Anolis sagrei: one gene and its partners. The protein of the gene in region 3 interacts with the protein of the main gene of each other region in a biochemical or structural test. Links are inferred from orthologs where the notes say so. Each region holds a gene or a part of one and is shown on either strand. Other genes may lie near its edges.

Region 1 (6,936 bases), about 91 Mb from region 3:
GCCTAAGTAGAATAATAAGTAGCTAAAAGTCCAGTTCTGACTTAAAGACAGAGATCTCTTACTTTTTTACAAAAAAAAATTAACAAGGCAAGATTCTGCTGTGATCTCTTCCTTGATGCTTCTGGAAGAAGCAATGAACTGTTTTTTGACAGAAAAAGACACAAAAGGATTAATTCGAGGCATATGGAAGAAGTTGGGGACTGCAAAAATAGCCATAGAGATAATACACAACCACAGAGCTGCACTCTGCATGTTCTTTAAAAAAGAACCATAATCCTACAGTAAGTTACTCAATGTCCCTATTCCACTACTTAAGGAAGATGAAGCTTACCATCCATACCAAGACCTAAAACAAAGCTTTATAAACAAACATATGTGGATTTAATTTTTTAATTCATTTTAAGTTTGAGAGTTAAAAGTTTATTTTGCTGTTCACTCCACCCACAAAAGCTTTCCTAACATTACTCAATCCTGAGATTCTTTTTAAAAAAATTCCTCTCCTTGATCAATTCTGTTTTCTAAAGTGATGTTTCCAAATTTGACATGAACCAGAAGCCTTTATTAACTCTCTGTCAGAAAGGCAATGTGTACACAACAGAGGGAGGGAGCCATGAGGCTGAGGATTGGGAGAAAACCCATCCAGAGAGAGATATGAAGAAGGGCTGATTAGGAATGAAACATGCATTTTAAGCTTGTTTTGTATTATATTGTGTTTCTGTGAGTCTTTATTCGCTTAATTTTGCAATTGTACTGTATGGTTTTATGGTCTGTTATTCTTGTTGCAATAAGTTTGTGTATACACATATATTTTAGATCGTATGCCTCTGGCAGGATCCACTGTTTTTTCTTGGAATAATTGAATTGGAAGAAAGCCCAAAGGCCATCCAATCCAACCCCCTACCATGCAGGAATACACAATTAAAGCACTCCTGACAAGATGCCCATCCAGCCTCTATTCAAAAGCCTGTCCACCAAAAAGTTTTCCCTAATGGAATTACTTTTCCTGCCATTTGAATCTATGGCTCTGGAACAATAGAAAACAAGTTTCCCCCTTCTCACTATATCTTTCAAAACCAATAAACTTTCAGTTAAATGGTTGGTAGATGCCAGATAAAGTTGCTTGGGAATTACTATTAAAAACAGGCCTAACACTGTAAGCCAGGGCTGGGCAAACTTTGGCCCCTTAGGGGTTTTGGACTTCAACTCCCACAATCCAAATGCTTAAGCGGCTGAGGGGGGAAAGGAAGAGGCGTGAGGCTGTTAGGAATTGTGGGAGTTGAAGTCCAAAACCCCTGGAGGCCAAAGTTTGCCCAAGCCTGCTATAACCTATATTATACCGTAAACTCTTGTACTGACTTGATATTAATATTGAAATAAAGCAATTAAAAGTAATACATTTTACACTATTATAAAATAGCTCTTGTGAATGACATAAGCGATTTCAGTTAAGTTTTTGTGCTGGTTGCTTGAGATTTCCAATTAACTGAGAGTCTGCTTTACAAACCTCCCTTGCTGCACCAGGTCTACTGGCTGCCAATCTGCTACCGACCACAGTTCAAAGTGCTGGCTTCAGCTTATAAAGCCCTAAGGTACTGGCCCAGCTTACCTGTCCAAGCGTATATTTCTCTATGAAAGATTTTGGAGATTAAGATTATCTGGGAAGGCCCTGCTCTCAATCCCACCCCTTCATAGGCAGGACTGGTGGGGATGAGAGACAGGGCATTCTCAGTGGTGGCCCCTCGGTTGTGGAACACCCTCCCCATGAAAATTAGATCACCCCCTCCCTCTTGACCTTCAGGAAGAAAGTTAAGTCCTCGTTGTGGGACCAAGTGTTTTCACAATGATAGTGCAACAATTGATATCTTGGTGCAATAATAAGCTATTACAGGTGACAATTGGAATGGCTCCTGACTTATGTTCCCAGATTGTGCGATTTTAAATAATTGCTTCAATTGATGTGTTTTAATGATGCGATTTTAATGTATATGTTGTTTTATAATGATATGTGTAACACGGGTAAGGTTCTTAATTTATAGTATATGTTATTGTCTAGAAATTATGTTTTGGTTTTGCTACCATGTCTCCTCTCAACCTTCTTTTCTTCAAGCTAAATGTAAATTTGTTTGATTGCAAAGCACAATAAATAATAATAAAATGAAGACAATAGAGTGGACAAGGAAAACGAGTGAAGCCTGGATATATGTGCACGAAACGGGGGGAGAGGGAGATTGAAAAGGAGGGATGAAAATATGCCTCAGCAATGGGAAATATGGTGTAAAGGAGCATCATTCCAAGAATATATTTTCCAAGTTAATATTATAATGTAATACAATATATTACTAATAATATTATGATATTATAATAATATATTTTATATTAAATGTAATATTACTAATAATATTAGAGTATAATGTTATAGTACAATGTAATATATAATATTAATATTGTGCTATAGTAATAATATAATATATTGTATTTTTACTTGTAAGATGCTCTGAGTCCCCTTCGGGGTGAGACGGGTGGCATATAAATGTATGTGTATATGTGTGTATATATATATATATATATACACACACACACACACACACACACACACAAGCCATCCCCTACCACGTGTTTCTGTGGCCTAGTCTGTGTATATATTTGTGTATTTGTGTTTATATGTATGCATGTATATTGTGTATGTGTGCTTGTCTATATGAATATTTGGGTATATATGTGTGTGTATATTTGTGTGTGTTTGTGCATATATATATATACACAAATGTGTGCATGTAAATATGTATGAGTGTATGTGTATATGGTGGGTTTTTTTGGGGGGGGTTTAAGTCTGCTCCGCTGGGGTTGTGTGTGTGTGTATTTTTAGGGGTGATGGACACTCGTTGGACTGTTCGGTGTATTGTGTCCAAATTGGGTGTCAATTCGTCCAGTGGTTTTTGAGTTCTGTTAATCCCACAAACGAACATTACATTTTTATTTATATACATATTCCAAGAAATACACACACACACAACCAGGAAGGGGTCGCAGTGATGAGAAGACACCTCCGAGGAGGCGACGGGGAAGGCAAGCCCTCAGGGCCCAAAACCCCGCTCGCCGGGCCCGGATGGGGAGGGACGGCCGCGGAGGGCGCCAGGAAAGGGGAAGGCCTGCTCGAGAGGCCCGGAGCAGCCCAGCGGCCTTCCTCAGTGGCGAGCCCGAGGCTGAGCAGCGGCCTCCAGGCCTGCGAGGGGGCGGCGCTGGGAAACGGGGGAGGAGCCGCCGCTCGGCCGCGGATGTAGCGGCCGCGGATCCCCGCTATGCCCGGCGGAAGGAAGGAAAGGAGGGAGGGAGAAAGAAAGGAGGCCGGGCCGGCTACCTGGTCGACGCTGGTGGCTGACATTCTTCAAGGGGCGCGCAATCCCCCTCACCCCCTCCGCTCCGCTCGGGCCTGCTCGTGGGTCCCGCTTCCCTCCAAGCGCCGCTTCCTCCGCCACTCTCTCCTCCTCCTCCGCCGCCTGATTGTCTCCGCAGCTCGGCCCCCTCCTCCTTCTCCTCGGAAAGCAACCCGCTGGACGCTGCGAGCGCGGCGGCGGCGTCGGCTTCCCTCCCTTCTCCTCTCGGGGCTTCGCTTTCCCACAATGGCGGACGCGCTCCGGCTCCTACTTCCGCTCCGCAGCGCCCTGACCTTCCGCTCTCTCCCCCCTCTTCCTCCTCCTCCTCCCTCCCTCGCTGCTGCTGCTGACGACGACGTCGCAGGCGACCTTTCCGTCTCCGCCTCATGTCACGTGGGGAAGGGGAAGGAAGAGGAGAAGGAGGGAGGAGGAGAAGAACCAGAAAGGGGCGCATGCGCACGCCTCCTTGGCCTCCAAGAGCTTCCAAGAGCCCGTATGGTGTGTGTCTAGGAGGGTGAGGCGCTCGCGCGCGTCGACGCAGGCGCAGTGCTGCCTCCGACCGGTGGGGGTGGAGGCGGAAGTGACGTCAGCATTCTTTCCCTCAGCCGCACAGAGTCGGGCGAGAATCCTGAGGGAACGGAAAAGGCGTGAGAGTGCTTCGAAAAGGAAGGCGTTCGAGGCCGTTTTCCCAACCGTCTCAACCGCTCGGCTCGGAGTGAGCAAGGCGGCGCTTTCTCGGGACGCCGTAGTCGACGGCTGAGGAGAAAGAGAGCCCCTTGGCTTGCTTCCTTCCTTCCCTCCGTTGAACCATCGGCACTCGCGACAGGGAGGCCTCGGCGCCAGGCTCCTCGCCGCTTCTTCCCCGGGAGATTCCTCTCCCATTTCGGTGAGATTGTCTCCAAAGGCTTAACAATATGAGGGAGGGGTGTGAGGGGAAGGAAGGAAGGAAGGCAGGGCCTGTCTTCCAAGCAGGGAAATGGCGGCCGAGGGAGTGGGAGCCTGGCATGAGGAAGCCTTTAAGAAGGTCCTGGCCCGGGTAGAAAAAAAGCTGAAGACTTAGAACTGAGTCGGCAAAAGACGGGGGGAATTATCAGAGTTTTAAGAGGCATTTGTTTGGTTTTTTCCTTTTGTTGTTTCAAGCCTTCCGCGTTCAGGGTATTCGGCTTTTAGTGCTGAGTCATGGCATAGCTCGAACAAATGGAACAAAGTCCACCAAAGAGAGATGTACCTATCTGGGCCAACGCAAAATGCGGAGAAACGCTTCATGTCAGATTTCGAAGCTCCACTGGCTTCTGCGCCCTCTGAAGAATCATACATAGAAGTGAAGGAAAATGAGGGCATTAGAGACCTTTGAAGAATCATGCATACAAGAGAAGAAAAATGAGGGCATTGGAGACGCAGGCCTACGTTTTGCACCCAGTGTTGTTTTTGTGGGTCAGTTGTTCAGGGCGGTTTTCAATCCAGACATAAGCCACTCCCCCATTTTGGCCTTCTGAGTGCCAAGACAAAAAAAAACCCAGTCAAATGTACTGTATATACTCGAGTATAAGCCGAGGCACCTAATTTTATCACAAAAACTGGGAAGATGTATTGACTCGAGTATAAGCCGAGGGTGGGAAATGCATCCACTATGGGTCAATTTCAAAATAAAAATAGATACCAATAAAATTACATTAATTGAGGCATCAATAGGCTAAATGTTTTTGAATGTTTACATAAAACTGTAATTTAAGATAAGACTGCCCAACTCTTATTAAACCATTATGTTAACCTATAAGTAAATGTACTTATTATTAAAATAATAAATATAATAAAAAATAATACAGTGAAATAATGAAAATGTAATAAAAACAGTCATAGTAGAGTAAAATAATAAATGTAGCAATAACGGGGAAATGCTGTAAATATAATAATAATAATAATAAATAGATTAAAATAATAAATGTAATAATAGGGTAAAATACTGTAAATGTAATAATAATAATAATAGAGCAAAATAATGTAAATAGAATAATAGAGTAAAATAATAAATGTAATAAAATATTACTAATAACAGAGTAAAAGAATAACCTTGACTCAAGTATAAGCCGAGGGGAGCTTTTTCAGCCTAAAAAGAGTCTGAAAAACTAGGTTTATACTCGAGTATATACCGTAAATCGCTGCAGCAGCAGAGTCACTCCTATTGGAATCCAGGATGACTCAGCCTTTTGTGAAGCCACAGGCCCCTTTCTTAGGAATTTATTTATAGTATTGGAAGCAAACCGAGGGTACATTTGTAATGTATTTTTTAAAAACTTGGCATTATACTAAAATGTCCTTTGACCAGTAGCTGGCCACTTGGAGTGCTTCGGGTGTTGCTATAAGAAGGTCCTCCACTGTACATGTGACAGGACTCAGACTGCATTGTAAGAGGTGGTCTATGGTTTGCTCTTCTCCACACTCACATGTCGTAGATTCCACTGTGCAGCCCCATTTCATAAGGTTGGCTCTGCATCTCATGGTGCCAGGTGCAGTCTGTTCAGCCCAGTTTTCTGTGTGCCCAGGGAGGAGTCTCATTCAGTATCAGCCATGTCTTGGGGTTCCAGGTTTTAGCCTGCCAGTTTTGGACTCTCACTTGTGAGTATCTCTGTAAATCTTAGAAAACCCATTCTTGATTTAAGGCGTTGGCGTGCTGGCTGATATCCAAACACCAGAAGTTTTTTAAAGTAGGAGACACTGAATTTCTCCAGAGGTCTCTGTGCTGCTACAGTACAGGAGTTGGGTGCTGTGTAGGTGCTCTCTCCACCAGTGCCTATTCTACATGGACATTTGATGCAGGCTCATCCTGCCTTTGCTGTATAATTACCCAGGCCATTCAGGGCAATTTTACATCACCCTGCTACTCTCAGATACCAACCAGTTATAACCTATATTACTGCCAGGTTTTGTGCAGCAGCAATTCAAATCCGCCGGGCAATGACTGGTTCCAAAAGTTAACAATCTTAACTGTCAGCTAACTGAAATGTAAATCGGTTCTTCCCACTCCAGTACCCTAGACTTGTGCCCTAAATGCTCCTACCCTTCCACCAATCTCCCTCCTTCTCCATCCCCTTCTAGTCCCTTCCCGTAATAGTTTTTGTGCTTTAGCCTTCAACATACCTCTGTTTTTTAGCCTTTTAGATTTTAATGTACAATAATTTTATGAGACTGTACCTCACTCTCCTTATGCTGTTCTATGATTGTAATAAAGATTTATGATTAGGTAAAACTCAGACAATTACTTCACTGTATGGCCAGCACAGGTATCCCTGAATATGTTTGAAGTTGAAATGATTAATCCAACAGGTGATGACTGCTTGGTATGATTTCTTCAAGAGCCTCCTCTGTGTGTCTGTGTGTGTGTCAGGTGCAACTTGAGAAACTGCAAATCGCTTCTGCTGCAAGAGAATAGGATATCTGCAAGGACATTGTCCAGGGGACGTCATATGTTTTACCGTCCTGTGGGAGGACTCATATGTCCCCACATGAGAAGCTGGAGCTGACAAACGGGAGCTTACCTGCTCCCTGGATTTGAACTGCCGAT
Region 2 (7,462 bases), on a different chromosome or scaffold from region 3:
CTCAAAGCTGGTTTTTGTGGCACTTGAAGAAGTCCCTCGACATTTTGCACCATGCTTTTGAATCCTGACTGCAAAACTGATAGAGCAGCAACAAGCAATGCCGCCACAGCAAAGTGAGAAAGGAGCTCACACCCAAGTTTAAGGCTGACTCATTCTTACAGAAGGTTTCCAGGAGCAAGAATCAGATTTGTGGAGGCACAATAGATGTCTCATTTTAAAGCAGAAATGAGGGAGGATGTTGCAGCCACACTGTTGATTTATCACCATGCAAATGAAGGAAAATTCAGTGGCCGCAGGGAGCCATGGTGGTGTAATAGATTCCAGTGGTTCTCAACCTGTGAGTCCCCAGGTGTTTTGGCCTACAACCCCTAGAAATCCCAGCCACTTTACTGGGATTACTGGGAGTTGAATGCCAAAACATCTGGGGACCCACAGGTTGAGAACCACTGGGTTAAACCCTTGTGCACGAGCCCCTGTTGGCGCAATGGGTTAAACCCTTGTGACAGCAGGACTGAAGACCAGCAGGTTGGAGGTCCGAATATGGGGAGAGTGCAGATGAGCTCCCTCTGTCAGCTCCAGCTCCCCATGTGGGAACATGAGAGACGCCTCTCACAAGGAGAGTAAAACATCAAAACATCCAGGCATCCCCTGGGCAATGTCCTTGCAGACTACCAATTTTCTCATACCAGAAGCATCTTGCAGTTTCTCAAGTCGCTCCTGTCACAAAAAAAAACCTTGTGCGGGCTAAATTGCTAACGTGAAGGTTGGCAGTTTGAATCCATGAGACAGGGTGAGCTCCTGTCTGTCAGCCCCAGCGGGGACGTGACAGAAGCATCCCACAGGATGGTAACACGCCCGGGAGTCCCCTGCGCAACATCCTTTCAGAAGGCCAATTCTCTCACACTAGAAGTGACTTACAGTATTTTCAATTTGCCTCTGACACTGATAAGAAAAAAAATGTGGTCACCGCGAAGTTCACCTCTTCCGACCTGAAGTCTGGAACTGCATTTGGTTTTCTGTGGTGCCGTATGATGTCTCCTGTCATTATTTGCAATACAATCCTTCCTTCCTGCAACAGTTGTCGTTATTGGCAGTAATATCCCTCTGGCAACACTTCGTACTACTTGGCGTGGATACCAAGATCCACTGGGGAGATCCTCCTCTCAATCTCAACACTATCTCAAGCCTGGTTGGTGGGGACGAGGGAGAGGGCCTTCTCGGTGGTGTCTCTGCCTCTGGAATGCCCTCCCCAAGGAGATAAGGCTGGCCCCATCCCTCACCTTTTTCCGTAAAAACTTGAAGACTGGGTGGTTTCATCAGGCTTTCGATAATGACTAGTCTCAAGCCCTTGGTCCAATAGTTAGGACTTGGCCTTGTGCCCCATCCATTCCCTAGTTCCCTGTCATCTGAGGGCACCTTTTCTTCCGGCCTAGACCTTTTTCATAGTCCTTTAATTTGCCCTGGAATTGAGTGGCCCAGTCCCCTAGTAGGACCATTACTGGGAGTAATCCTTGCACTGTAGTATTCAGCCAGCCTCATTTTTCCCTTCTCCTTGCACTAGCCTTGACCCAACCCGTTCCAAATAGTCCAGGCCCCTTATTGAAATCTTTGCTCCTGGCAGCTTACCTTGCATGAAGAAGAGAGCGGACTTGGTTTTAAATTGATTTTGATATATATGTCATGTTAAGCCCATGTCATGATAGGCCCAAGCTACCTATCTGACCGCATCTCTGCCTATGAACCCACCAGGACTTTGAGATCTTCCGGGGAGACCCTGCTCTCGATCCCGCCTGCTTCTCAAGCTCAGCTGGCGGGGACGAGAGAGAGGGCCTTCTCGGTGGTGGCTCCTCGGCTGTGGAACGCCCTTCCTGCGGACATTAGACTGGCACCATCTCTAATGGTATTCCGCAAAAAGGTGAAGACCTGGATGTTTGTGCAGGCGTTTGAGTAATTTAGTGCAATCTGGTAATGGAACATAGGAATGGAACAATGGGCGGCGGACCTGGACTACGCTTGGATGATGAGAAGATTGGGTACGGTTGTTTTTTGTAATAATTGTGCATTGTAATTGCTTATCGGTAATTTATGGATAATGTGTTAAGTCAATTGTTATATGTTGTATGGAACCACTGCTGTTTCTACTGTTTTTACTGTTTGTGAACCGCTGTGAGTCGCCTTCAGGCTTGAGATACAGCGGTATACAAGCAAAGTAAATAAATAAATAAATAAATAAATGTTAACTGTTTATGTTTTATATTGTATGTTTTTGTATTATTTTGCGTATGTGGAAACCGCTCTGAGTCCCCGAGGGAAGTATATAAATAAAGTTTATTTTATTTTATTATTATTGGAAGCAAGTCCCATTGACGTTGCGTATGCTCTGGCACAGGCATGGGCAAACTTTGGCCCTCCAGATGTTTGGGGCTTCAGCTCCTACCATTCCTAACAGCCTCAGGCCCTTTCCTAAAGGAAAGGGCCTGAGGCTGTTAGGAATGGTAGAAGCTGAAGCCCCAAACATCTGGAGGGCCAAAGTTTGCCCATGTCAATCCTGTACAATCAAATGCCTCTGACTGAGGACCAAAACACCTGGAGGGCCGATTGGTGCCCATACTTGAAGTAAAATGAGGTCTAAGAAAGATTGTGGCGCCTTCGGTGGGTTTCCTGATTCCCCCATTCTCCTCCAAACAAGGATCCCTTCAGGCAGTCAGGAAGCACCCAGGCCTTGAAGCTGCAAGGCCATTAAATTATAATCAGGGTAGCCAATTGCAGCAGTCACACTTGCCTCCCAAAATGCCCAGAGCTGCTCTCCTCACAGGATAAACAACCGCCACAGAAAGAACGAACACGAACCAGAGGCCTCTCCGCGCACTGCGGGTTGGGAAGGCCTACCGTTATGGCCTGTGGGGTCCCAATATCGCCCCGACTCACTCACTCACCCGCCACGAAGCCCTATTGTTCCGCTGCCTTGCTTCTCCTCCTCCGACTGGGCCCTCTCAGCACTGTGCAGCCCGCCTCCGACGCGCCTCGCCTCCTCATTGGCCAGCCGTCGCGGTGACGTCACGCCTTCGACTCTAAAACTTCCGCGACAGGGCCGACTCGACCCGACGGAACCTTGGGATTTGTAGTTTGGAGGTCTTGGCCTCGTCAAACTAACAGTTCCAGGATCCCGCCGCATTGAGCCCTGGCGGTCGAAGTGGCGTCAAACCGCATTGGTTATATCTACAACGTGCTTACAGTTGTTAAAGTGCATTGATTTTACAGTATACGTGCACCCTTTGCAGATGCTGTGGACTACGATTCCCACAATCCTTTTCTGCCCCGATGAGGCTGATAGGAAAGGGATGGACCGTTGGAAGCTGAGCATTCTTTACCTAAGCTTCGAGGCATTATTATATTATTTAACCTGAGACATGATTCATTCATGAACGGAGACGTGTGTGCTGAAACGTATGGAAACACATAGGACTAGAGTAAGTAAAACTTTATGGGTTGCTGTGAGTTTTTCGGGCTGTATGTCCATGTTCCAGAAGTATTCTCTCCCAACAAATTCCCATTCTCCTCCCCAGGCAGTCAGGAAGCAGCCAGGCCTTGAAGCTGCAAGGCCATTACATGATACAGGTGGCCAATTGCAACAGTCACGCTTTTCTTTCTCCCACCCTGGACATTAGACCACAGGATTTGTAGCTGGGAGGCTCTTCAATGTTCCTCCCAACAAAGGATCCCCCAGGCAGTCAGGAAGCAGTCAGGCCTTGAAGCTGCAAGGCCATTACATGATAATCAAGGTGGCCAATTGCAACAGTCAAGCAGACAAGAATTCTTTCTCCCACCCTGGACATTAGACCACAGGATTTGTAGCTGGGAGGCTCTTCAATGTTCCTCCCAACAAAGGATCCCCCAGGCAGTCAGGAAGCAGTCAGGCCTTGAAGCTGCAAGGCCATTACATGATAATCAAGGTGGCCAATTGCAACAGTCAAGCAGACAAGAATTCTTTCTCCCACCCTGGACATTAGACCACAGGATTTGTAGCTGGGAGGCTCTTCAATGTTCCTCCCAACAAAGGATCCCCCCAGGCAGTCAGGAAGCAGCCAGGCCTTGAAGCTGCTAAGCCATTACATGATAATCAAGGTGGCCAATTGCAACATTCACACCAGCCTCAAGCAGACAAGAATTCTTTTTCCCACATTGGACATTATTCCACAAATATATAAATCTCCCTTGCTGAATTTCCAACAGACCTCACAACCTCTGAGGATGCCTGCCATAGATGTGGGCAAAATGTCAGGAGAGAATGCTTCTGGAATATGGTCATACAGCCATGTTCCAGAATCACAGCAATCCAGTGATTCCAGCCACGATAGCCTTTGATTACACTTTTGCCCACATCCTCAGAGGTTGTGAGGTCTACACTAGAATTAATTAACACCCATACTGGCTGTTAGAAATTGTGAGAGGGGAAGTCCAAAACACCTGGAGGGAAGGCCAAAGTTGGCCCGTGCCTGATCTAGATGCATCCTATATCACAATTCCTACCAAGAACTTTGCCCATATCATGAGAAGACAGGAATGCTTAGAGAAGACAATGATGCTGGGGGAAATGGAAGGAAAAAGGAAGAGGGGCTGACCAAGGGCAAGATAATAACAATGCGTGACTTAGGGCCTTTTACTCTAGCACTTAAGACCTGGCTTTTCACTAGAGCATTTGATCTATGTTAATTATTAATTTTTGTATGTATGTATTTTTATCTTTTACAATTTAGCTTGTAAATCGCCTAGAGCATCTCGGATGGAGGGCAATTAATAAGTAATTAAATATGATGATGATGATGATGATGATGATGATACACTTTATTTATAACCCACTATCATCTCCCCAAAGGGGACTTGGTGCAGCTAACATGAGGCTAAGCCCAAAATAATACAACATAATAAACACACAGTAACAAAATACATCATAACAAAATATAGAATAACAAAATCAACAATACAAAAGATGGATGGGATCCTTGAAGGACCTGGGGGTGGCGACGGCCGACAGGGAGCTCTAGCGTGGGCTGGTCCATGAGGTCACAAAGAGTCAGAAACGACTGAACGAATGAACAACAACACCGAGAACAATAGGAATTCTCCAGAAATGGGACAATAGGCAATCCAGACATCAGAAAACACAATTTCTTCATTCTTATTTTGTGCGTTTTTCCTTTCCAAATGGGCTGTTGACAGAAAACAACGGAAAAATTCCTGATTCATAGAATCATAGAATCAAAGAGTTGGAAGAGACCTCATGGGCCATCCAGTCCAACCCCCTGCCAAGAAGCAGGAATATTGCATTCAAATCACCCCTGACAGATGGCCACCCAGCCTGTTTAAAAGCTTCCAAAGAAGGAGCCTCCACCACACTCCGGGGCAAAGAGTTCCACTGCTGAAGGGCTCTCACAGTCAGGAAGTTCTTCCTCATGTTCAGATGGAATCTCCTCTCTTGTAGTTTGAAGCCATTGTTCTGCGTCCTAGTCTCCAGGGAAGCAGAAAACAAGCTTGCTCCCTCCTCCTTGTGGCTTCCTCTCACATATTTATACATGGCTATCATATCTCCTCTCAGCCTTCTCTTCTTCGGGCTAAATATGCTAAACACTATTCACCCAAATAGTGGGTACAGATGAATGTATTCACCTAAAGGCAACATGTGTAAGACCCCTTCCACACATTTGAATAAAATCCTACATTATTTGCTTTGAACTGGGATATATGGCAGTGTGGACTCAGAATATTGTGGGTTATTCTGTCTTGATATTCTGGGTTACAGGGCTGTGTGGAAGAACCCTAACAGGGGAGTTCCAGTTTTTCCCCATTTGCATCCCTTCCTATGGGAAATGTGGTTTCCCAACCCCTTTGAACGCTCAGAGTAGCCCTGAGGAAGAAAAGGGTGCGTGTCGCTTTAAGGCGCCCTCCCAAAATGGCTCCCCGGATCCATTCAGACGGCCATTTCACGCCCAGCGGCTCGGAAGCCAATCCCCAGGAAGGTTTGGCTTTTGAGCAAATCTTCAGGGAGCCTGAGACGGGTTCTGAGGAACATAAGGAGAGATAAAGAGAGGAGAGGGAGAAGGGAAAAGGCGGAAGTCCATCAAAATGTAAAGCTTCCGCGTTCTCCAGAGCAAGAGGCTCAAAGTAGCCTCCCAGAAAGGTAAACTTCCGGTTAGAGGTTGACGTTGGGCCTGAAGACAGAAATCCCACGTGGATCCACGTGGAAAAGGAGCTGCAAACTGGACACGGGTGCATCTGTACCAGGCAAGGGCAAACTTGGGCCCTCCAGGTGTTTTGGACTCCAACCCCCACCATTTCTAAACGCTTAAGCGGCTGAGGGGAAAAAGGAAAGGGCCTGAGGCGTTTAGGAATGGTGGGAGTTGGAGTCCAAAACACCTGGAGGGCCCAAGTTTGCCCTTGCCGGATCTACACTAGAATTAATGCTGTTTGACACAATTTTAACTGCACAGGATCAATGCTATAGTGTAGTTTTGCAAGGTCTTTGGCCTTCTCTGAGATCTCACTGGACTACAACTCCCAGGATTTCATAGAACTGATCCAGGGCAGTTAAAGTAGGCTCGAACGGCATTGATTATTGTTATTATTATTACTAAGCAGTGTCGAAAACGAATGCTGTCTGTTGGTGGGGGTATTGAAGGAGCCAGCCTTTGCCTGAACAAAATGTGACCATTTGGATGCTGGAGGTGATAAGGGCAAAGTGTGGCATTGCAGCATTTAATACCTATATGAACATATCTCTCCTTATGAACCACCTAGGACCTTAAGATCATTGGGGAGGCCCTGCTCTCGATCCCGCCTTCCTCACAGATACATTTGGCAGGGACGAGAGACAGGGCCTTCTCAGTGGTGGCCCCTCGGCTATGGATCGCCCTTCCCAGGGATATAAGATCAGCTCCCTCCCTTCTAACATTCTGTAAAAAGGTTAAGACTTGGCTCTTCAAGTAAGCTTTTACTACTGGAGCATAATTAGACAAAAACGAATATATGGATTGACATTTATGCAATATATGCAATTGGACATGATTTTATATGTAATATATAATGTAATATAATATAATGTATATTAAATAATATATATAATAATATATGATATAATATAAATATATATAATCATATGGTGCAGTGGGTTAAACCCCTGTGCCGGCAGGACTGAAGACCGACAGGTAACAGGTTCGAATCCGGGGAGAGGCGGATGAGCTCCCTCTATCAGCTCCAGCTCCTCATGCGGGGACATGAGAGAAGCCTCTCACAAGGATGTTAAAAACATCAAAATCATCCAGGCATCCCCTGAGCAACAGCGGTTAGGAATGGTGGGAGTTGGAGTCCAAAACACCTGGAGGGCCGAAGTTTGCCCTTGCTGGGTCTACACTAGAATTAATGCTGCTGTATTGTTTTTATATCACATTTTAAATGTTTTAATTGT
Region 3 (7,989 bases):
TTAGGCACAAACTCCACATTGGGTCTGTTTGCCAAGAAGAAAGATATGTAAGGCTTGCTTTCCAACTGCAGTAGCCTGGATGTTGTTCCCTTGAGAGAACTGCAAGATGCTTAAAGCATAAATCCAAAGGTGTCATTAAAGATGTGCCGGAGACACACCCGAGGCAGGAAGTAGCAGGGGAGATGACTGAGGGCAGAGGTGGCAGAGGAAGCACCAGGCGGGCACACAAAGGAGGCAGAGGCATGCCTGACACCTTTCCCTCCTGGGCTGCAGGTGTGTTCCTTTTGTTTTATGTAAGACCCCCCCCCACACACACACACACACACACACCGCTAAATAAAATCCCACATTTTCTGCTTTTAACTGGCTTATCTGAGTCCACACTCAGGCCCTATATAATAATGTGGGATGTCCTGCCTTGATATTCTGGGATAGAGGGCTGCGTGGAAGGGCCCAGGGATATATGGCAGTGTGGACTAAGATAACCCAGTTCAAAGCAGATATTGTGGGCTTTACTGCCTTGATATTCTGGATTATATGGCTGTGTGGAAGGGTCCTAAATTCATGGAAGGATTACCTCCACTAAATTCTAGAGGAAAAGATTGTGGGCCCTTCCACACAGCCATATAACCTAGACCAGTGGTTCTCAACCTGGGGTCCCCAGATGTTTTTGGCCTACAACTCCCAGAAATCCCAGCCTGTTTACCAGCTGTTAGGATTTCTGGGAGTTGAAGTCCAAAAACATCTGGGGACCCCAGTTTGAGAACCACTGACATATACTATCAAGGCAGATAACCCACAAAATCTGCTTTGAACTGGGTTATCTGAAGCCCCTTCCACACAGCTGTATAAAATCCACATTGAACTGGATTATCTGGAAGTATGGACCCAGGGCCCTCGCAGATAGTTCAAAGCAGATATTGTGGGCTTCCCAAGATCTGATCCCAGATTTTCTGCTTTCAATTGAATTCTTTGAGGGCCCTTCCACACAGCCCTATATCCCAGAATCTCAAGGCAGAAAATCCCACAATATCTGCTTTGAACTGAGTCATCTGAGTCCACACTGCCACATATCCCACTTCAAAGCAGAAAACATGGGATTTTCTGCCTTGATATTCTGGGATATAGGGCTGTGTGAAAGGGCCCTGAGTCCGCATTGCCAGATAATCTGAGGTAAACAGAAAACCTGGGATCAGATTCTGGGATATAGGAACTGTCTGGAAGGGCCCTCAGATAACCCAGGGCCCTTCCACACTGCCATATAAACCAGAGTATCAAGACAGAAAAACCAACAATATCTGCTTTGAACTGGGTTATCTGAGTCCACGCTGCCATATATTCCAATTCAAAGCAGATATTGTGGGATTTTCTGCCTTGATGTTCTGGTTAATATGGGTGTGTGGAAGGGCCACCAGTTCAAAGCAGATATTGTGGATTATCTGCCTTGATATTCTGAGTTATATGACTGTGTGGAAGGGCCCTGAGTCCACACTGCCATATAATCCAGTTCAATGTAGATTTTATACAGCTGTGTGGAAAGGGCCTTAGGCCCTCTCTACACCGCCACATAATCTAGGGCTCTTCCAGAGTCATATAACCCAGAATATCAAGGCAGAAAATCCCAAAACATCTGCTTTGAACTGGATTATTTGAGTCCACACTGCCATATAATCTAGTTCAGTGGTTCTCAACCTGTGGGTCCCCAGGTGTTTTGGCTTCCAACTCCCAGAAATCCCAGCCAGTTTACTAGCTGTTAGGATTTCTGGGAGTTGAAGTCCAAAACATCTGGGGACCCACAGGTTGAGAACCACTCATCTAGTTCAATGTGGATTTTATACAACTGTGTGGAAAAGGCCTCTACACTGCCATATAATCCAGATGAACAAAACACAGAATCCACATCATCTATATAGGAGTCCACAGTGCCATATATCCTAGTTCAAAGCAGATATTGTGGAATTTCCTGCCTTGATATTCTGGATTATATGGCTGTGTGGAATGGTCCTGAGTCCACACTGCAATATAATCCAGTTCAATGTGGATTTTATACAACTGTGTGGAAGAGGCCTTAGCCACATAATCCAGATGAACAAAGCACAGAATTCACATCATCTATATATGAGTCCACACTGCCATATTGTTCAAAGTAGATATTGTGGAATTTCCTGCCTTGATATTCTGGATTATATGGCTGTGTGGAAGGGTCCTGAGTCCACACTGCCATCTAGTTCAATTTGAATTTTATACAACTGCCCCCTTCTAGACTGACACATAATCCAGATGAACAAAGCACAGAATCCACATTATCTACATATGAGTCCACAGTGCCATGTAGACGGGGCCTGGATGGCGGGAGACGGGGCCGCACACCTGCCTCTCTTCCGGGCAAGGCGCCCTCCCTTTGCTTGAAGCGATGCCCAGCGCCAGGCTCAAGGCGTGCCCTTCATCCCTGGCCTCCCGGGCGGGGAGAGGGGCAGGAAAGAGAAACCAAAAGCACGGGCCTCCTTCTGGGAAAGGCGAGGGCCGCCTTGGAACAATAGGCCTCGGGAAGGGCCCCCGCAGGAGGCGCCTTGCGGCCTAGGCCGGAGAGGCGCCGCCTGCCGAGGGTTTGGGGCCCAAGCGCGGGGCCTCGCTTCGGGGCGGGGAGGCCCAGCTGACACGGCGCGAAAGGCCACCAAGGAGGCCTCCTCCCTCCTCCTCCTCCACAGCTAAGACCCCCACGAGAGGGAGGGAGGGAGGGAAGGGCCGGGCATCCCCTGGAGCGGCGCCTCCCTCCCTCTTTCCCAGCCTGCCTTCCTTACCTTGTGGATTCTCTTCAGCGCCATCGCGGCGGCGGCGGCGGCGGAGCCTGTGGAGGGCGGCGCGCGAGGAGGCAGGAAGGAGGCGAAGAGGAAGGAGCGGGACTACTTTTCCGGCGGCGGAGGGAGCGCGGGGGCTGCTCGGCGGAAGAGGCAGGCTGGAAGGGAGGGAGGGGGCGCGCGCGGGCCTCCTGGGCGCTCCCCTTTCAAGTCCCTCGTCGGCGCCCCCGCCCCGCCCCTGCACGCCGCTCCGTCGTCCCCTTCCGCCGCCCCCTCCTCCTCCTCCTGCTTCTCTCCCTCCTTACTATTTCCCCCGGCTCTCCCTTCACTGACGTTCTCGGCGCTGCGGCTCCTCCAGCCGCATCACCCTTCAGCGAAGTTCTTTTATGACGCGACGGCGGCGCGAGGTTAATGAGATTCCTCCGCCATCGGCGTTGGCGCATGCGCCTCGCGGCCGTCGCGGCAGGCTCGCGGACTGAGTGGGGAAGCGCTGCGTGACCTTACGCGGACGCTTAGGAAGGCGCTGAACGAGCAAGTGTGGCCCGCGGCAGGGAACCCCTCGGAAAAGGACAGAGCACGAAGGCGTCCCCTTCATCGGTGAGGGCCGCGCAAGGCGAGGGTTCGCTCTCTTCTCGCGAGAAGAGACATGGCGGATGAAGGCCCAACAACTGTCAGACTCGAAGAGGGAGGAACAGGACAGGAAAAACTTTTCACTTGGGAACAAAGGGGTTTAATGGAAACCAGGGCCCTTCTACACAGCCCTTTATCCCAGAATATCAAGGTGGAAATCCCACACTATCTGAGATATTGTGGGATTTTTTGCCTTGATATTCTGGGATATAGGGCTGTGTGAAAGAGCCATGAGTCCATACTGCCATATATCCCAGTTCAAAGCAGATATTGTGGGATTTTTTGCGTTGGTATTTTGGGATATAGGGCTGTGTGAAGGGCCCCGAGTCCACACTGCCATATATCCCAGTTCAAAGCAGATATTGTGTAATTTTTGCCTTGATATTCTGGGTTATAGGGCTGTGTGGAAGGACCCTGAATCCATACCGCCATATATCCCAGTTCAAAGCAGATGTTGTAGGATTTTCTGCCTTGCTAATCTGGGCTATAGGGCTGTGTGGAAGGGCCCTCAGATAACCCAGTTCAAAGCAGATATTGTGGGATGTTTTGCCTTGATATTCTGGGATATAGGGCTGTGTGGATGAGCCCTGAGTCCATATTGCCATATATCCCAGTCCAAAGCAGATATTGTGGGATTTTTGCCTTGATACTCTAGGATATTGGGCTGTGTGGATGAGCCCTGAGTCCATATTGCCATATATCCCAATCCAAAGCAGATATTGTGGGATTTTTGCCTTGATACTCTGGGATATTGGACTGTGTGGAAGGGCCCACATAATTTCAAGATAGGTAAGCCACAATATCTGCTTTGAACTGGGTTATCTGAGGGCCCTTCCGGACAGGCCCTATAACCCATATCTGATTCCATATTTTCCTGCTGTAACCTGGATTGTAGAAGTCCCCACTGCCAGATAAACTGGGATAAACAGAAAACCTGGGATCAGCTCCTGGGATATAGGGCCTTTCTGGAAGGGCCCTCAGATAACCCTGCCATATATTCAAAGCAGATAATATGGGATTTTATTTAGATGTGTGGAAGGAGCCTCAGTGGGTCTATAGTCAGGACGAGGTTTGCCATGAACCCCTTATTATTATAAAGGGCCCTTCCACAATGCCATATAATCCAGAATATCAAAGCAGACAATCCACAGTCACAGTATCTGCTTTGAACTGTGTGATCTGAGTCCACACTACCATATTATCCATTTCAATGTGGATTTTATACAACTGTGTGTTGTTCAGTTGCATCTGACTCTTCATGACCTTATGGACCAGCCCACGCCAGAGCTCCCTGTCAGCCGTCACCACTCCAGTTCCTTCAAGTTCAAGCCAGTCACTTCAAGGATACTATCCATCCATCTTGCCCTTGGTCAGCCCCTCTTCCATTTCCTTCCTTTCCTTCCATACAACTGTGGGGAAGGGGCCAAAGTCTGTCCTTTATTTGTGCACTAGAAAGCTTTTCTTTTTATGTAGAGGCTCAACAGCTCGGCTCAAAAACCCTTTTTTTTTTTTTTTTTTTTTTTGAGGATTTGAGTCTTCCTTAGAAGTGGACATGTGTATCATTTTATTTGCCAGTATATGTTAATGTGAAAAAATATAGAGAAATCCATAGCTACATTAGCTGAAATCAATACCTTTGTTTGGTAAAACCATTTTGAGACTTGCATTTTTGTTTTTTGATGACCCAGTAACTCTAGTCGTATTTAGAGCTATGTTCCTTTCTATGTAAAACAAATGAAATGGACTCGTGGATGCTATTGGGTTACACTGTGCATCACTTTTTTCTTTTGTAAAAATCAAATTTAAACTTTTTTTAAAAAAAGTATAATGATGTGGTATATCCACATGTCAGTTTCTATTTGGATACCTGAAACTTTTAATATATCCAACTTGATTTTTTCCCTCCAAAACATGCCATTCCAAATGTACTCTATATTCCTAAGGTATCAGGATGACTTACAATCTGTAAAAATGGGTAATAATTGTGCTTATTTACACTGACTGCTGCTGTGCATTCAGCAGCTTGTTTTGGACTTCTCTTAGTGGCTAAATAACACACACCACTGAAGAACACTACCACACACTTTAAGGGTTTTTAACATAAGTTGGGGAAAGTCCAAAACAAGCCCCTGAATGCATGACAGTCCCAAAGTAAATCACACAACATGGCAAAATCAGCTCCATAGCATACAAAGTTCATTGTGGACATCCGATGCACTGATGTGTATTGTAAAACTCAGAATGGGGCTGACTGATGAGAAAATGCCGAGGGCATGACTGGGGAACAGGTGGTCAGTTGACCCCTTGGGATAGATAATTGATTATCTCTACTGCTAGTTCTCACTTTCCCTTCTTTTTTCCACCTCTTGCGTCCACAATGTAAATGTGCAAGCCATGGATACTGTGGATTTTGGAACCAGTTCCAGATCACTTTTGTGGTTAATGTAATCACCATCCTGGTCTGAAATCTGTTCCAGAAATAGCAATCTTACCATCCATACAGAAAAACCAGTTTCTGCTGAACTGGTTTAAAACATACTTAAGTGGTCAGTGTATTTGATATCTCAGTCAGTAGGTAGATAACACAGAGGGGTTGCAATGTATATTTATTTATGTTTTAATATTTTGGTGGATTCTATATGGTGCCAGGATTGTAGATGTTTTGTTGCTTCTATAGCAATCCATGCAGGAGATAATACTGTCCCTGCTGTCATCCCAGACAGGTCAAACAGGCAGGCTTTCTAGTTACCTGGTCAACATATATTCTTCCATGGCACCTTAAATGCTAACAAATTTATTCTGGTGCAGACTTTTATAGATTGCAGCTCACTTTAATAGATATAATGAAACTAGCTCAGATGACACACAAGCACAAAAAACAGCCAAATGAGGTACAAAAATAGCATAAATTACATATGCTATTGGTGGTCTGGTTTTGTGTTAAATATTAAGAAATCTTCAAATTGTGTAATAATTATATTGGTTCGGTTTATGTTTGAATGCCATTGAAATGCTTATTCTCTTTAAAATAAATTCAGCTCTACTTTTAATTTTACATCACAGGCACGCGAAGTTAACAAGTCCCTGAAAAATAACTCTTTTATGCAGTCTTCCTTCTAATTTGAGGGGCAGGAGATGTAGTATAGACTTCGATAAAGGAGGATTGGAAAACAAAACCTTGTCAGTGTTGGGTAAAAAATATTGAAGCTTGACCTAGGAAAGAATGTGTTCCACTCTAGGTGATCCTCCCGCAGTTATGTGCACTTACTCCTCCAGAATCACTGAGTGTGTATGAGGAGCAAAACAGAAGCCCCACCCACACTGTCATATAAGGCAATTCCAGAATGCAGTTTAACTGCATTGAACTGGATTATATGAGTCTGCATCGCCGTATAATGCAGTTCAATGTAGTTAAACTGCATTCTGACAACGCATTATATGGCAGTGTAGGTAGGACTAGAGAAGCAGATTGGCCTACCTCACCAACTACCCAAGCATATTTTTAAAAGTGTGGATTTCTCAAAAGTTCACTACCAAAATGGAAACCAAAAGCAAAGTGTAAGCTATGAAACAAAAAATTATCCTGGAATGCATTTTGGAAGAAACTTTCAAGGCGCATAATGTTTATGCTTACATATTCTAGCTTTACCTGACCTGGTTGTTTCGTTTCATATGTGCATGTCAATTTTGAATTAAAACATTCCTGAAACATGCTGAACTGTTGCTCTTTGTGTGTGTTATACAAACCTATCCCTAACAGATTCTATGTTTCAACCTCTGATACCAAGGTTTTTGTGAAAGTAGAGCCCAGCAACACATTTACTTTGTTAAATATACCTGTATGTAGAATTATCTGTAGGAGCTACTGACAATAATAGCTACATTACATTGCAGTTGTAATATTCCAATTATTATTTGTTTAAATGTTAAGTTGCACAACACCTATATAACATTTCTTCATTTTTAGCAAAAATTACCGACATTTTGAAGCACGTTTCAGCATCATAACATGTAATACTTCAAGTTGTTTCTAACTTAAGTTTACCCAAAGTCATCTTAACATGGGCTTTCTTGCCAAGATTTGTTCAGAGGGTGGTTTGCCTTTGCTTTCCTCTATTTGGCCAAGATTACCAAGTGGGCTTCCATAGCTTAATTGGAATTTGAATCCTCATGTAAGAGCCATAGTCACTCAGATCAACACACCACACTGGCTCTGTCTTACTAATTTATATTGTTGCTTATTTAAGATATTTATCAATCAAAACTCATGTACAAAATGTGATCAATTATAAAATATAGACTTACAAACAGGTGGGAATTGTGCAGCTCTCCAGATGTTGCTGGACTGTATCTCCAGGCATTCTGCTATTGGCTAAGCTGGGTAGGAGTGCAGAATGTTGTAATCAACAACAAACAGGATTGCACAATTCCCACCTTATAACTTAAAATATATGGTTAGTTACTTACTTACTTAGGCGATCCCTCATAGTCCAAGGATGATGGTCCTCCAAGTTCAGTGTCCTGGTGGTGGGTCCGTAGGTGACTCTGGAGCCCTATTCTT

The links.
Region 1: the proteins of UBE2D2 (region 3) and RNF4 form a complex in vitro, tested with the Homo sapiens proteins (8 studies listed by BioGRID, with this or other methods). The link is inferred for Anolis sagrei from reciprocal best matches to the Homo sapiens genes UBE2D2 and RNF4.
Region 2: the proteins of UBE2D2 (region 3) and TTC3 form a complex in vitro, tested with the Homo sapiens proteins (2 studies listed by BioGRID). The link is inferred for Anolis sagrei from reciprocal best matches to the Homo sapiens genes UBE2D2 and TTC3.

Annotation. Positions count from the first base shown.
Region 1 is NC_090024.1:46,921,776-46,928,711, forward strand, and holds the start of RNF4 (E3 ubiquitin-protein ligase RNF4), read left to right. Parts: upstream 1-3,921; 5' UTR 3,922-4,260; intron 4,261-6,936. Other genes in the region: YTHDF3 (YTH domain-containing family protein 3), read right to left, coding at 3,359-3,382. UniProt on the Homo sapiens protein: E3 ubiquitin-protein ligase which binds polysumoylated chains covalently attached to proteins and mediates 'Lys-6'-, 'Lys-11'-, 'Lys-48'- and 'Lys-63'-linked polyubiquitination of those substrates and their subsequent targeting to the proteasome for degradation.
Region 2 is NC_090023.1:71,816,511-71,823,972, reverse strand, and holds the start of TTC3 (E3 ubiquitin-protein ligase TTC3), read right to left. Parts: upstream 3,016-7,462; 5' UTR 2,937-3,015; intron 2,919-2,936; exon of another isoform or gene 2,783-2,918; intron 1-2,782. UniProt on the Homo sapiens protein: E3 ubiquitin-protein ligase which catalyzes the formation of 'Lys-48'-polyubiquitin chains. Mediates the ubiquitination and subsequent degradation of phosphorylated Akt (AKT1, AKT2 and AKT3) in the nucleus.
Region 3 is NC_090024.1:137,845,874-137,853,862, forward strand, and holds the start of UBE2D2 (ubiquitin-conjugating enzyme E2 D2), read right to left. Parts: upstream 3,024-7,989; 5' UTR 2,826-3,023; coding exon 2,802-2,825; intron 1-2,801.